Tamandua tetradactyla: one gene and its partner. The protein of the gene in region 1 purifies or fractionates together with the protein of each later gene. This does not show direct contact. Links are inferred from orthologs where the notes say so. Each region holds a gene or a part of one and is shown on either strand. Other genes may lie near its edges. The genes, in order: KPNB1 and RANGAP1.

The links.
Region 2: the proteins of KPNB1 (region 1) and RANGAP1 purify together in Homo sapiens (affinity purification with mass spectrometry; 3 studies listed by BioGRID and IntAct, with this or other methods). This does not show direct contact. The link is inferred for Tamandua tetradactyla from reciprocal best matches to the Homo sapiens genes KPNB1 and RANGAP1.

What each region holds. Positions count from the first base shown.
Region 1 is NC_135332.1:29,005,537-29,013,252, reverse strand, and holds the start of KPNB1 (importin subunit beta-1), read right to left. Parts: upstream 3,083-7,716; 5' UTR 2,729-3,082; coding exon 2,689-2,728; intron 2,583-2,688; coding exon 2,524-2,582; intron 465-2,523; coding exon 282-464; intron 1-281.
Region 2 is NC_135333.1:34,451,809-34,459,582, reverse strand, and holds the start of RANGAP1 (ran GTPase-activating protein 1), read left to right. Parts: upstream 1-4,674; 5' UTR 4,675-4,790; coding exon 4,791-4,875; intron 4,876-5,058; exon of another isoform or gene 5,059-5,124; intron 5,125-5,207; coding exon 5,208-5,348; intron 5,349-7,774. UniProt on the Homo sapiens protein: GTPase activator for RAN. Converts cytoplasmic GTP-bound RAN to GDP-bound RAN, which is essential for RAN-mediated nuclear import and export. Mediates dissociation of cargo from nuclear export complexes containing XPO1, RAN and RANBP2 after nuclear export.

The DNA of each region.
Region 1 (7,716 bases):
TTCCAATCTACCAAATGGATTCTACAAATTCCTTTAATCACCGATCTAAAGTTTTCCCAAACAGCTATGTCCACCTAGGTTATCTGAAAATAAGTCCATTCCATCAGTGAAAACGGACAAGTTGAACTGAGAAAAATATTTAAATCAAGCACAATTTTTATCTTCAAGTGAGGTTCAGGTTCCTGAAACCTATCATACTGTGAGCTCCAGTTCAGCAAATGACAAAAGAACCAACATGTTTAATCCCTAAACATTATGACGAAAAAGAGAAAGTTACTTACATAGTTCTTGACTTCTCGTCGGGCATTAGCATCAATAGCAAGCCATCTCTGCTGATACTGTGCCTTGATGTCTGGATCCTTAGATGTCAGAGAGTTCTTGATTTGTAGCCCAGCTGCAACTCTGGCAACCTGACTGTTTCCTGGATTTGCCAGCACTCTGGACAGTTCCACAAGGAAAGTGGGCTGTTAAGAGATGTATTTGCGAATGAAAATATCTGGTAGGAGTTTCACCAGTTGAGGATAGCTTATGGAGCATGAAACCTTTTTTCCTTTTAAGGACAGATTATTAGTGCCACAGAAAACTCCAAAATATCTACTTCAAAAATTCCATTTAAATGTAACTTAACATATGAGTAAATAGTCTTCTCAGGCAATGGCAAACAATACAAGAGTGGCAGATTTTCCTACCAAGGTCATTCTTAGAGCCCAAGTTTTCAAATCACATCCCCAGATTTAAAGCAAGTTTGCAATCTGGTAGGCAATGGACCTTCATGCTGAAATGTCCCAAACGCCTAAAATAGTGCTTGTAACTAAGTATACGTTGAATGAATTAACGTTATGACAGGAATGTAAAATTGATATTCTTTTAAAAACTTTAGTCCAAAAAGAATTTCAGTGTGACTTTTGATCTCATGAAAACAGAAAATCTTGTATGAGAGGAAAATACTTGTAGGGAAATCTAAAACAGATTGAGGAGCCTAGTCCTCTGTACTTTAGTTGCAAGCATGAACCAACTTTCAGCAAAAGGGGAACAAAGGGAAAAAAAAGTAGATTTACAAGAAAAAGTTAGTGATAAGTATTAGAAACTGGGATAGAGAAAAACTGAAAAGATAAAAACTGTCAAGGCAAATTGTTCCAAAGAATATGACAAATATAAATGGCTAAAAGCCTCTATACAGTTTGGTATTAGTTATCCACGAAACTTAATGGAGCCCTAAAAAATATATTCAATCTCTTATAACACACAAGTCCCCAAACCACACCCCTTACGATTTCTGACACACACACACATTCCTGCACCCCCAAAAGCCCTACTCAAATGTAAAAGTTAACAGGAAAAGCCAAAAGGAGAGTTTCTGACTACTAACAACTACTGTTCACCATAGAATTTTCACATCAGAAGATAATTCTTAAAAGTCGTATTTAGTTTTGTATCATTATAACATGCTAGGTATGAAGGCTTCTGCAAATTAGCAAAAGCAGAAACGGGTGTCTATACTAGTGGAAAAATCCTTTCTGGGGAAAATTAAGGGTAAAAATATCAGCAGAAGAAACTATTCAAAGGTAGTTTGTATGAAATAAGACTTGCCACTTCTTTCTTACATTATTTTATCTAAATAACTCAAAGTGACCCATTTGGTTACAGTGTTAACTACATATTACTTATACTTTCAAAAGATGTCAAGTATCATCCACCTTTCCCTCTGCTCCACATCCTCCCAAATACAGGGAAACCGAAGGGAAGCAAGTGGCACACGGCTTGTTTCAATCAATCCATCCCACATTCTCAAACAGAAAATGTGCTCCTTAAATCTGAAAACTCCAAAATGAGGAACTTTGCTCTGTGATTTCCTCAGGAAATAGGACCGATCAAGAATGAACCCCAGTCTGAGTACAGATTCCAAATATCTACTCATGGATGTTAAAAAAATAAAAAAAAACACCAAAAAACCCAGGAAAGAACAAATCAGGCAGTATAGGGAGAAATATTAGGAGACATGGGTTAACTGGCATTCGGGTGCTAGGCCTGGCGGTGAGCACAGGCCAAGCTAAATCGGTAAGAGTTGAGGTCTGGTAAGTAGATGGAAAACCACAGGGGCCATGGGACAGGAAGAGGAAGCCGGTTCGGGTCTAGAGCAGAGCGGGCAGCTGGGCTCTGAGCTTCCACATGGCCCCTAGGCCCGGCTCCCCCACCCCCACCCTCGCCGAACACGCAGCGCGGCGCAACCTAACTTCCCTTCCCTCCCTCTTTCTCCCTCCCGCTGCACCGCCGCCCTCAGGCCGTGCGATGATTGGGCGGCAGTCACCCCGGTGAGCCGCGTCATTGGCCAGCTTCAGGGGCCCGGGGCGGGACACACCCACCGGCTTCCCGATGGCGGGGTTAGGTTGGAGCCGGGCGGGGGGAGGGGGACGGGATGGGGCGGGGTAGGTTCCCGAGGCCTGGGCCTCCAGGAGGGCGGGAAGGCCCCGGACGCAGGAGATGGGGAGACGGCGGGATAGGGAACGGCGGGATTGCACGCACCAGGTTCTCTACGGCCGCACGCTCCAGGAACTTCTGCGCCGCTTCCAGTTCAAGCCGATCTGGGGGGAAGCAAAGTGGGAAAGGGAACAGGGTCAAAGGGGCCTGGGCCTCCCCTCCCCCCACTTAAAATCACCTCAGCCCGAACCCCCAGCCCCCGCGTCCTACCGGGAGACACAGTCTTCTCGAGGATGGTGATTAGCTCCATGGCGGAGGTGATAGCAGCGACTTCCCCTAGGACGATGGTCCGGCCTCTCGGGCGGCGGCTCTAACTGGGGGTGGGGGTTGGGGGTCGGGTGGGAAGGGAGGGTGGGGTGGGGGGCGGGGGTCACCACAAGCCCATTCACCGGTTCCCTCTTGGTAGTTCCGGCGCCCTTTCCTTCCTTCTTTCTTTCCTTCTTCCCTCCTACTTTGCTGCTGGCGGCCGCGGCAACTACTCTTGTAGCGGTGGGGTAGGCACCCCGGGGGCAGCTCAGATCGCGGCTGGTGTTCGGGTGGCGGAGGGAGAAAGAAGGAAGAGAGGCAGTGAGTGAACGGCGACTCGCAGGGAGGGAGAGAGAGGGAGGGAGGGAGGGAGGCGGAGGGATATTCGGGCCGGACCTCGCCGCGGCGGCACCGCGCTCCAGTTCGATTGGCTGCTGCCGTGGGCACGCGGAATCCCCAATTGGTCAGGCGGGCAGGGTTGAAGGGCCGCCGTGCGCCAATTCGCCCGCTGGCTTCATGACCCGGATTGGCTGGGCGGGCAGGGAAATGGAGCGCGCGGATTGGCCGACGTGAGGGAGGTTGGGGTGGGGCCGGCGAGAGCCGGCAGCGGGTTGGATTGGCCTGGTAAAGGCCTTGAGCTTAGACACGCTGAGCGCTTGGAGGAGGATGGACTAAAGGCAAGGCTCCAAGCTCGGGTGATTGGCTGGCATACTAGACGTCGATAGGATAGCGCGCCCGGGAGAACTGGGAGAAGAGTTCGGGGTCGGGTCCGCGGGAAGGCGGGAGGCGCCAGGGTGCTTTGGGTGCCCGGCGCAGGGCACGATGGGACGCCCCCGGGAAGGGGCGGCGCTTTGCTCGGGCCGCTTCGGGCTGCGGTTGAGAAAGCGCCCTTGCTCCGAGGGGTGTGTTGTGTGAGTGCTTGGCGGTCCTGAGCGGGGGAGGGGAGACCGTTAAATCTCTGCCGCGCTCACAGGAAGCTGTTTTAATGGTTAGGTCTATTTGGCACCAGACTTTCGTTTGGGAACTACCTTGGAGACCATTTGGTTCAACTTTAATTTTGCACATGTGGAAACTGAGGCCAGAGAGGGTATGGAATTTTACAAGGTCACACAGCCGGATAGTGGCCTGGTCAGGATAGACTGTAGTGCCCCTGACTGCCCTTCACCCTGCATGCGGCTTCCCCTCCAAGGAGATGAATGCATTAGCAGTCCTACATTTTTTGGGGGGGTTTTAGGCCTGTGCTGTAACAAGTCCTAACTCGAATACGGATAGGCATTTGGATTCCTCTTAAGTGCCCGGTCTTTAGCTACCAGGTAATTGAAGGAATAGAGATGAATTTCATCTTCCAAAGGTTACCTTATAAAACACATCTGCGAACCAGAAAGAATGGGTGTATGGGCATAAAGGATTAGCAAAATGCACATAAAGAAAACGTGGCATAGTACATGGGCCCCAGGTTAGGAATTTCCTAGACTGTTAAATTTTTTTACCTTATTGATCATAGGTTTGATTGAAGAGAGTTATTTTTCATTTGCCTTGGTGTTACGAAGTAATTGCCCTACTTGAACCACACTGGGAAAACCCAGGAGATAATTTGTCCATGCTGAGAGGTTCCACTGAAGATATAGGAAAATCTGGCCAGCTACCCTCTGAAACGAAAAGTAGAGACATCTGCAGTCCTGAAGCTGAAAGTGAGGGGACACCATTCCTCACACCATCCTGTAACTTATTGATCTTTTCAGGTTTAGTATTCCACCTAGCTCCAGCCTTTTGCTTCATCTGTTAACTGATAGATGAAGTTTAACTTTGTTAGGAATCAGTGAAGCTTGTGTGAGCACAGGACAGTCTTTGAATTGTCCTGACGTGGTTTACTCACTGAATGATACACAATTTTGTTTCACTCCAAACCAACTTTTTCCTGCCCTCCAGAAGTTTGATGGGCCATCTCCTCTGCTCAGTATTAGTCATGATAACGCCAGTGAAGGCAAATTGATTTTTTGGTTGTTAGATTGTGTGCTACAGAAAATTTAAGTTTGGATAAAATAAGCATCTCTTCTTTCAGTTTCATATAGTAGATGAATTATATAATACAGACAATAACATTATTTACCATGTATTCTGATTTACCTCAGTCCCAAGCAGATCAGCTTTGTTCTTATCTCTACTTGAAGTCTAATCTTTTTTTTGACTTAACAGTTGCTGTAGGTCTTTTTTTTATATTTTTATTTTTTAAATTTTTTATTTTTTTACATGGGCAGGCACCGGGAATCGAACCTGGGTCCTCTGGCATGACAGGCAAGCATTCTTGCCGCTGAGCCATCATGGCCCTGCTGTAGGTCTTTGAAAGCTACAGAACTCCCACTTTGAGTCTTAGTTGTCACTCCAGTACCCAAAGTTCCAGGTAAATAACAGGTTGTACACAAAGAGCATAGCATCTCAGAATCTAGAAGTAAAACTTAAATCTTAGGAATAAATGTGACTATTGTAAGAGTTTATAATCTAGCTCCTAATTTTTTCATAATATAGTTTCTAAAAGAGACCATACAATATTTGTCCTTCTCTTTCTGGTTTTATTTTTTTATTTTGCTCAAAATAATGTCCTCACAGTTTGTTCACCTCATGGGACTTCATTCCTTTCTGTAGCCACACAATATTCCATTGTAATATACACCATAGTTCGGAAGGCAAATTGATTGTTAAACTAACTGAAATAAAATGCTGGGAAGATAAGTTTTGCAGCAGAGTTCCATCATATATAAGATCCTTACCAAAACCAAAATTGAATAATTACAGGTGATAGTGTTTAGGTGATAGGTGACAAGCTGTATCCAAAGCACTCTTCTGTATTTGACAATGCTAGTGAAGCCCCATAGCGTTGGGCAACACATTGGGAATTGACTGCATGGGTTCATAACCCAGCTTTACCACTTCTTAGCTTGTGTGACTTACTTTCCTCACTTGTAAAATGGAGCTAATAACAGTATTTACTTCATAGGGTTGTTGGGAGGTACTAAATGAGTTAATATATATTAAGTGCTAATAACACTACCTGGCATATTATGTATATATAGATGTATAAATATGCATCTATTTGGCTTGTATTTTGTGCTCAGAAGTTTTTGGTCTTCGGTGTACTAATGAACATAGATTTAGTTAATCTCACATCCAAATATAAAGTTATGAAAGTGAAAGATGCCAAGGAATGACCCAGACAGAGGCTCAGGGAAAGCTTAGAGGATGGGAAGGGAGTTAGTTACTCAGGTGATGAAGGGAGGAGCAACATGTGCAAAGGCCCCTTGGTGGGAGGGCCTTGGGGTCTTCAAGGAACTGAAAGAAGGCCAGTACCCCAAAACATGGAGAACAAGGGGTTGTGATAAAGCTGGAGAGTTAAGTGGGGCCAAGACCATAAGAGACCTTGCAGACTGAAAGGGGTTTTATCTGTATCATATAGGGGATACAACAGGAGCTATTGAAAGGTTTCAAGAAGGATGGTTGTGATGTGGAGATAGATTGGAGAGGAACAAGAATAGATGCAGGTAGACCGGTCAGCAGGCCATTGCAGTAATCTAGGTGAGAGATGATACTTGTAGCAAGGAGAAAGGTGGGGATAATGATGGAAATAGAAGTAGATAGCAAAATCAGTTGGTTTGGTGATTGTCTCGAAAAAGAGGGAAGTGTATTGTGTCTACCGGATTTCTGGCTTGTACTGTGGAATGAATGAGAGAAATTGAAGGCCACATGGTTTAGTAGAATGGAGAGGAATAGGCAGGGAATTTCAGCTTGTATTTCCTGAGCTGTGTATTGGAGTACATAGTTTTTTATATTCTCTATAGCTTTTTTGTATGTTGGGAATATTCATAATAAATACACTTTTTAATTTTAAAAAATGAACAAATTCTGAAATTGAAGAGAAAAAAACGTTTTTGTCTTACTCCACTATTTCATTCTGTGTGATTCTGAACAAGCTATGTAACCTTTTGAATCTGTGAAACATCTCATAGGGTGGTGTGAGCATAAATGGAAGCCCCTCTGTGAAGGAACTCGCTACAATTATCTTGTGCCAGGAGATTTTCAGCAGTTTCTGTTATGTGGGTGAATTAGTAAATATTAGAGATGAGCTAAAATTTTCCTAATCAGTCCCCCTTATGACCCACAGCACAGATGTGTAAGGTGACTCGCTATGATGGGAGGAGCAGTGAGGCCATGACCCTGATGCCATTTTCTACTGAGCAAAGTTGACTGATTGGTAGAGGGGTTAAATCTAGGCCTCTTTGCTTTAAGGGACACTGTGTACTTAAGGTTAGTTGATTGCATTCATTTTTCTGTAGGCATAGTATACTTCAATTAAAAAGTTATGCAAAATATATAAGGTGTTATGTAATGTTCAAAGAAAAAAGTTTTTGTTATATTTTTGTAACCTTGAAGAGAAAAAAAAAAGTGGGAATGTATAAGCCAAATGTTGTTAATGGCTGTCTCTGGATTTACAGATAATTTTTCTATGCTTTTTTAGTTCTCCTCAGTGTATTCCACGTTTTCTTTGATGAAAATGTATTGCTTTTTTACTTACTTTTTTTGTTTGTTTTTTCTTGGGCGGGTTGGAGGGGCATGGTCTGGTAATTGAACCCGGATCTCCCACATGGAAGGTGAACATTCTACCAGTGACCCTCCCATGCACCCTAATGTATTGCTTTTTTAATCAGAAAAAGTTTTAGAACTTCTTTTATTAAAATCAAAGAAAAGAGGTAGGGAAAAATGTTCAAAAAGGATTATTAAGCTCAAGGCCCCTATATCACTTGACACAACTATCCTTCTGTAACTGATCTTTGGAAAATAGGTGATGATTTTTTAAACGTATTCTTCCCAGAGCTAAAAGGGATGCAGTGTTGGGGAGACAGAAGAAAAAAAAAATCAAATAAAGAACAAATTGGTAAAAGCATCCTGAATCCAAACTTGGGAGGATCTCAGAGAAGCTTGAGCAAAGCTAAATGGAGC
Region 2 (7,774 bases), on another chromosome or scaffold:
AAACGTTACAACTGGGAGAGAAACATCTGGAGCAGTCTTCCCTTTCTCCCTCTGTACTTGCCTCACACAATATGACTTGTTCTGAGTGTGTTGAAAAGGACCCCAGAGGTCTGGCTTCTACTGTTTGTTTGTTTGTTTTTGTCTAAAGTTACTGTGTAACTTTTGCCAGGTTATTTAACTTCTCTGGTCCTCAGGAAAAGGGTGGCCTAATTCAGTTCTACCCATCCATCCATAAAGGCTGAGTCCACTTCTTGGGCCAGGCAAATAGATCAGGTCTCAGGTGATATCTTGAAAGAAAGTTGGAAAAAGGGAAAGTGAGAAAAAGATGACAAATGTGGTTGTTGGGAAACAAATGATGAATCTGGACTTTTCTGACTCACTGTGCAACGTTGGCAAACCTCCTTCTCTTTAAGTCCTAGTATCCCTACCCATAAAGGAGTTTGAGATAGACTCTAGATTCAGGTGTTACAAACAAAATCTGGATTGCTCAGAGGTGTGGTCAGGCTGGGTTTTTTATTTTTAGCTTTGCACGTGAATGCCTTCAGTCAGAAATTTTCTCTAGTCCTCCACAAGCCCCACCAGGCTTTTTAATAATTCCTATTACCTGCTTGACCCTTGAAGGCCGTTGAGTTTCTGCTAAGAATTCCCTTTCAGTTCTGATAACCCTATCATCTATCTGCTGGATGAAGAAGGGGAAGTTCACCTAAGCAACTAAAATGTTCTATTGCCCATCTTCTTCTCTTTGGGAAGTCTCTGTCTTGAGATCCTCAAGTCTCAAGGAGTAAAACCGGAAAACGGAGACTGGAGATTACCCCAAGGAAAATCCAGACTGATTTTGATCAATCTTAGCTGGAATCGGCGCAGAAACAGCATCAAACCTAATTGGGAGTGCTTGTTCTGATGGCAAACATCAGATGACCCTGACAGGAATCCTCAAATGAGGAAACCCAAAACATCAGTGATGCCAGGCCCAAAGGGGATGCAGCTCAGGTGGATACAGTGCCTGTTCTCAGAGGCCCTCCCAGGCTAGGTAGGAAGCTAACTCTGACTGTGGGAAAGCTCTCAGAGCCATGTGCCAACTACTGTGGGGACTCAGAACTGGGCGAGACTAATTCTGGCTGCAGTGGTTTAGGAAGGCCTTCAGGATGAGGGGGAATTGACATGGACTTTGCAGGCAGAGGAGAGGGAGGGGAAGCAATCTGGTGTGGGAAAGAGGACACATGGGGCAGGTGTCACCTCTAAGCAGCTGTTTGAACCAGGGATGTCACATTAGGTCTGGAGAGTTAGCTTTCTCATCTTGATGCTGGGAAGGCTGGGAAAATGCCCACTTCCTGTGTGGTTGTAAAGATTAAATAAGCTATGTGTGCAAGAATCTGGCACATAATATACTTAACTGAATTGCAGGTAAAGCAAAAGCATATGTGTAGGCTGGATTGTGAGAGGTAACTGGAAAAGAAGGTTGCATATGTTGACAGTTATTATCTCTAGATGCTTAGGTTTCAGGTGAGGTTTACTTTTTTTTCTCCTATTCTATATTGGTTGAATTGTTTATAATGAATACATGTTTTTAATATAATGGTTAAAAAGCTGTTTATAAAAAACAAAAGCTATTTGCATTTTTATACTTTAAAAAAAGTTGCAAAGAACTCCCGTATACTGGATTTATTAATGTTTTGCCACATTTGCTTTACCTTTCTCTATGTATACATATACATGTACATATACATTTTTTTCTCTGAACCATTTGAGAGTAAGTTGCAGACATCATGCCTTTGTCCCTAATTATTTCAGCATCTGTTTCCAAAGAACAAGGACAGTCTCTAACATAACCTAGTCCAATACTCAACATCAGGGTATTTAACTTTGATACAATTGTATTATCTAATGTACAATCAGATTTTGCTAATAGTATCAATATTGTCTCCTATGACAATCTTCCCAGGATCCAATCCAGGATTACGCATTGCATTTAGTCGTGTCTTTTTACTATAATCTGCAAGGGTTCCTGTTTTTCTGCCCTTCATGATATATTTTTGGAAGAGTACAGAAGAGTTTTTCTGTAACAAGTTTCCTCAAGATTAATTTTATGCATTGTTGACAGGATAGTCATGCCGTGTCCGTCTCAATGCATCACATCATGAGGCGTGGGGTGTCGGATGATAACTTTAATTACTTGGTTAAGGTGGTGTCCGCAGAGTTTCTCTACTATAGAATTATTATTACCCCTTTTTGATTACCAAGTAATGTATGGCTATTTATGAAGAAGACTTCGAATGCCCTTTAAATTCAATGAGACGAAAAAACACGAGTTTTTTCTTTCAGGAAATGGATACTTGATTTCTTGCTGAGGAGATTTAGCAGCACGGCTTCGGAAGTACCAGCCGTTATCAATAAAGTTACGTGAAGATAAACTTTCCGGAAGGGCTGGGACAGCCGTGCTGCACGGCATTAGGGGAATTGTAGTCTCTCTGCGCGCTTCCGGTTAAGCACCGTCCCGTGGCCTGCCCGAGAAAGAGCCAGACGTCGAAATGGGAGGACGACGGCTGTGGCACTCTGGAGGGCGGTGCGTCACGGTACTTGTAGTTCACAGTATGCGCCCCTGCCATGTAACTCCGGGCCCCGCGCAGAAGGACTGGACTACTATACCCGATAGGCCACGCGCGCGGGGGGCAGGGGAAGCCGGCCTGGGCCTCGAACAAATCAAATCGAAGGCAAGAAACTGCCGGCTTTCAAAATCCTCCTCCTCCGCCATCATCCACCGCGGTGTGGGGAGCAGGTGGTGTCTGCGACGTGAGTGACGAGAAGCGCCGGGAGAGCAGACAGCCTAGCGGGCTGAGCATCAAGATCTCTGGGCCCAAAGGCGGCGACCCCGACCTGACCTGACCCGGACCCTAAACCGGTCCCCACCCCGCCGGGCGGACGCGCGTGTTCGGTTCGCCCCACGCGGCGGCGCTGCCTGTTTACGGTAGGGTAGGGGTCCCTTTCCTTTGCCCGTCACCTGCCTAGGGGCGGAGGGAGCGGCCCTGGAACTGAGTAAGGAAAGTGTGGCGCCCCTGAGCGCCTGCTGCGTGCCTCCTTGGCGATGTCCCCCGCGTCTGCGATTGCCAAGCTCGGAGGTGGGGGGTGAGAGGCGTTTGTGCCTTTCTCAAATGGGGAAGCTGAGGCATAGAGAGGATGTCAAATTCTCTGGAGCCGCCCAGTCCATGCCTGCCAGCTGTGGCGTCTCATGTTGGCATCTGTGGCTTCTGGAGGCGGTGCGAGTCTTCCGGGAATCTCGGATGAGGCTCCCGCGCTGCCCGCCTGTCATTTATGGCCTGCAGTCGCGCGTCGCTCTCCCATCACTGACTCCCAGTAGGCCCACAAAGTCTCCGATGCTCCTGCAGAGGAGGGGCTGTCTTGACTCTGCCGCTAACCCCTTGCTGACCTAGGAGAAACAAATTTACATCTCTGTGTTTCGGGTTTTTTGGTCTTTAGAGTTAATTGGGGCGGTGGGAAGGTGACTGGAGGAGTGGACCCCCTTCAGCTGAGAAGCTGCATCCCTGTTCCATCTGGAGGCTCCACCACCACTTTTGTAGCCTCAAATTGTCCCACACCAGAACTGCAAGAGGTGGTAGGGTTTAGGTTAATTTTTATTAAGTTTCACTCCCTCATTCTTTGAGCACCTTCTAAATGCCAGGCCTTGTGCACAGATAGAGTGATCCTGTCAAAGCATTCCCCAGTTCACAGCTCTTCTCTACTAGAAACTTTCCACTGTCTCTTGTCATTCAGAGAAAAAGCCATGGTCCTTAAAATGGCTTTATGATACCCCGTCCCCCTTAGCTCTCTGTTCGTTCTTACCTCCTTTCTCCCTCCTTCACTGTGCTCTTCGCTTAGCGCCCTCTGGTCTCCTTGCAGTTCTCCAACACCCCCCTCCCGGCGAGAGCCTTTGCCTTTGCTATCCCCTTTTGTGGGAATATTCTTCACCCAGGTGGCTGCAGGCCCCAATCTCTGACACACTTCAGGTCTTTATTAGTTGCCTCCTTCCTAACAATACCTTCTCTAACCATTCTACTTTAAACAACCAAAAAAAAAAAAAAAATCCTTCTTTACTCTCTTCCCCATTGATTTTTCTTATCATTAATGTACTAAACATCTGCTTCAGGAAGATGTTTGTCTGTTATTCTCTGCTGTACTCATGGTACCTGGAAAAATGTCCAACCTGTAGTAGTACTCAATAAATGTTTTTTGAAGGAATGAATGCTTATACTCAATGAATAAGTCAGGCTTATTATTAAAGACAGACAGACAAACAAACCAGGGTTAGAAGGGGAGAAAACATTGGACAGTTGTTTGGTTGAGCCCAGAGAAAGCCTAGGGAAGTGGAAGAATGGGGGAGCTCTCATAGCTGCCTCTTGAGGATGAGTAGATTGGGGGAGGAGACAGTCTACATAAAAGGAGTCTCTCTAAGCACCTCCTAGTTCTGTTCCCCATATCAGCAGTCTTCCTTGGTCTCCCCTGATTACCTGCCTGTACCCCTTTGGTAAAGTGGAGTTGTCCTTTCTTGCTGGTCTACTGAGCTCCAGGTAGGAAACCCCTACCTGGTAGGAAACCGCTACCTGGTAGAGTTTTCTGGCAACTCTACCCCTGACCTATTGTGATGGTGCTATTGTGATGTAGAGATCTCTGGTCTCCTAGAAACTCTGAGGTCTGACCACCATGGACTGCAAGGTTGAAACCAGCCAAGCAGTGGGCCAACCCCTGTGCCCCACCCCCAGAGTCATGCCAGCGTGGGCGGTGAGGCATTCCCTGGGATGGATGACCTGGACCCCATAGCCATCTATGTCCTGTTTGAGGAATGGGACCCTCAAACAGAGAGCAGCCAAGATGATCAGGCAGGTATGTGATTGGATCAGACTCTTTGCATCATGTAGCCTTGCTAGGTGCTCCTAGCTGGAGCAATTGGGCCGAGCAGGACTTATAGTGAGATAGTAACTCTTTAGCGGTGAAACATGGTTTTTCTACTTTAAGAGAGTAAAACATGATTTATCTATTTCTTTGTTACCTCTTTCCCTTTTCTAGAACTGTTCTTCCTTGATGCTGTTTTCATCTCTCAGTGGTGTAGCTCTTAGGGTCTTAATAGCAGGGGTAAGTGAGATCAGACCCCTGAGATGGTTGATTCCCACCCACCCCCTCAACCAGGTATCTTAATGCTACTTCTGCCTCTTCAGTTTACAGATCTCCAGGGGACTCCACCATCATGGCCTCCGAAGACATTGCCAAGCTTGCAGAATCACTGGCCAAAACCCAGGTGGCCGGAGGACAGCTGAGTTTCAAGGGCAAGAGCCTTAAACTCAACACAGCAGAAGATGGTGAGTGCCTGGACGGACTTGTTCAGGGGAGGAAAGGGAGTGTGTGAATGAACACTTAAAACTTTTCCTATTTGTCAGGCATATGTGGCTGCAGCAACTCTATTATGTATCCAGTAGGCCTATTCTAATGATCAGGCTCAGAGACATTAACGATTTACCCATGAGCTTGTGCAGGCTGCCCTACTCTCTTCATGCTTGTAGTGACAGCTCAGGCTGCCAGATGGGCAAAGCCTCTTTACCTCTCAGAGGGAGGAATGGTAGGTTATAAGGGGCCACAATTAATCGTGGTCCCAAGATTTAGCTCTGACTTCTGACATCAGATCTGGTGTTCTTTCTACCCCCATTTTCACTTCCTGGGAACATCAGCTGTTGTCCATGTCGAGGTACAAATAAGCAGCACCTCAGGCCCTCCTGGGAGTCTGGTCAGTGCTCCCAGATACCTTGAGAGAGGCATGGATGTCCATGTCTCTGTGGAGGGCATTGGGACTGCAGAGAATGCAGACCCTGTCTTTCCCCACCCCTAGCCTAGGCATGGCTGGCGCTGACCAACCCTGAATTCCCTGGTGTCTAGAACAGAAGATGCTGATGTCAATGCTTGTAAGACCTCTTGGGGTTTTGCCTCAAACAGGGAAACTGGTCTGGACTTGCCTGGTTGTCACTGTGAGCAGGTGGGCTTGCTCACCTCCCCTGGGTCAGAGTCCGTGGGTTGCTGGGAGTGTGGTGATGCACATTACATTCCTAACATCTCTGTAGGGCCTTAGAGTTCACCAAGCATCTCTCTCTGCTTTCATCACATCGTCCCTGTGGGAGGTAGGAGGAAATGCTGCTTTGTTAATTAGGAAAAAAGACTTGGGAGACTTAGGTAACTTGCCCTAGGTCCCACAGCTGGTTAGTAGCAGAGCCAGCATTTTAACATAGGTCCTGTGCTTCTCACTGGATGTTGAGCTCAGTTCAGTAACCATGGTCTTGCTATAAAATGCCATCTATTAAACACTTACTCTGTGTCAGGCAGGGTGTTAGGGACCATACAAATAGTACCACTGTTTATCCTCACAAAAGCCCTTGAGGTATAGGCTTCATCTTCATTTTGTAGATTGGAAAACAGGCTCACGGAAGTTGTCAGACTTATCTGAGGGCATAGCTGGTAAGTGCGGAGCTGGGGTTAGTACTTAAGTTTGTCTGACTCTGAACTTTATGGAGGTAACCTCTTCACCACATCAGCATGGGCTGAACTTGGTACTTGCTTTCATAGGTCACCAGGAGTACCCAGATTGCCCTCAATGTGGAAAGGAAATGAGGTACTGAAGTGACTAACAGGAAGCAGAATGTGAAACGTACTCTAAGAGACATAAACAAAGGACTTTGGAAACTAAGGGGAGAGAGCTCACTTTTAGCTTAGGAGGGTCTGGACAGTATCCATGGATGAGATTTGAACTGTCATGAAAGGATGATTTGAAGGAGAATCGTTACTCCAAACAGGGAGAATCGCATTGATTAAGGTCCAGAAACTAAAACAAGTAGTGTGGGTTTGGGAGAAGTGAACTCTGTTAGTTGTCAGAACCCCATAGGGATCCCAGGGCAGAGGCCCTTGAATACTGTACTGAGGAACCTGGGGTTCAGTTTTGGGCCTACGATTCACCTTGATGCTGATTGTGGCTGATAGCCGGTGGTGATCCAGGAGGGCAAATGCCTGTGTGAAGGGGCCCTGAAGTTGATGATTATAATGAGACCCTGTTCTCTCTGCAGTAAGTCATGGAAAGATCAAAGAGGCTTTCTGCTTTACCTGTCAGGATAACAATCCTCAGGAACTTGTTAGTCTGTGATGTGGTACAGGCTGAAAAGAGAAATTCCTGCCAAACAGCTTCGTAACAATTGGTTGTTCAGGAGTGACTGGGGCCCATCCCTAACCTATTGTATAGGCCATACAGTCTTTAAATTATGCATTACTCCATTTGAATCGAAAACCAAAGGAGAAAAGCAAACCCACTTACGACCCTATTGTTCTCCTGTCCCTGTTTTGTTATGTTTCCTAATAGACTTGCTCTGTAAGTGTGACTTCCCCTGGGCTGAAATTGTAGGAAGCATGGTACATGTGCATCTGTGTGTTTAAGGTACTTTCACAGCTTAGGTTTTTCCTTGGGGCCCTGGCATCTGACACCTGGTCTTTGGGGACTGTATAAACATTCTATTTTCTCTCGCCTTGTTGACCTGATCAGTACTCAGGGGTTAGAAGGTGTTCTAGTTTGCTAGCTGCCGGAATGCAACACACCAGAGACGGATTGGCTTTTAATAAAAGGGGATTTATTTTGTTGGTTCTTCAGAGGAAAGGCAGCTAACTTTCCACTGAGGTTCTTTCTTACGTGGAAGGCACAGGATGGTCTCTGCTGGTCTTCTCTCCAGGCCCCTGGGTTCCAACAACTTTCCCC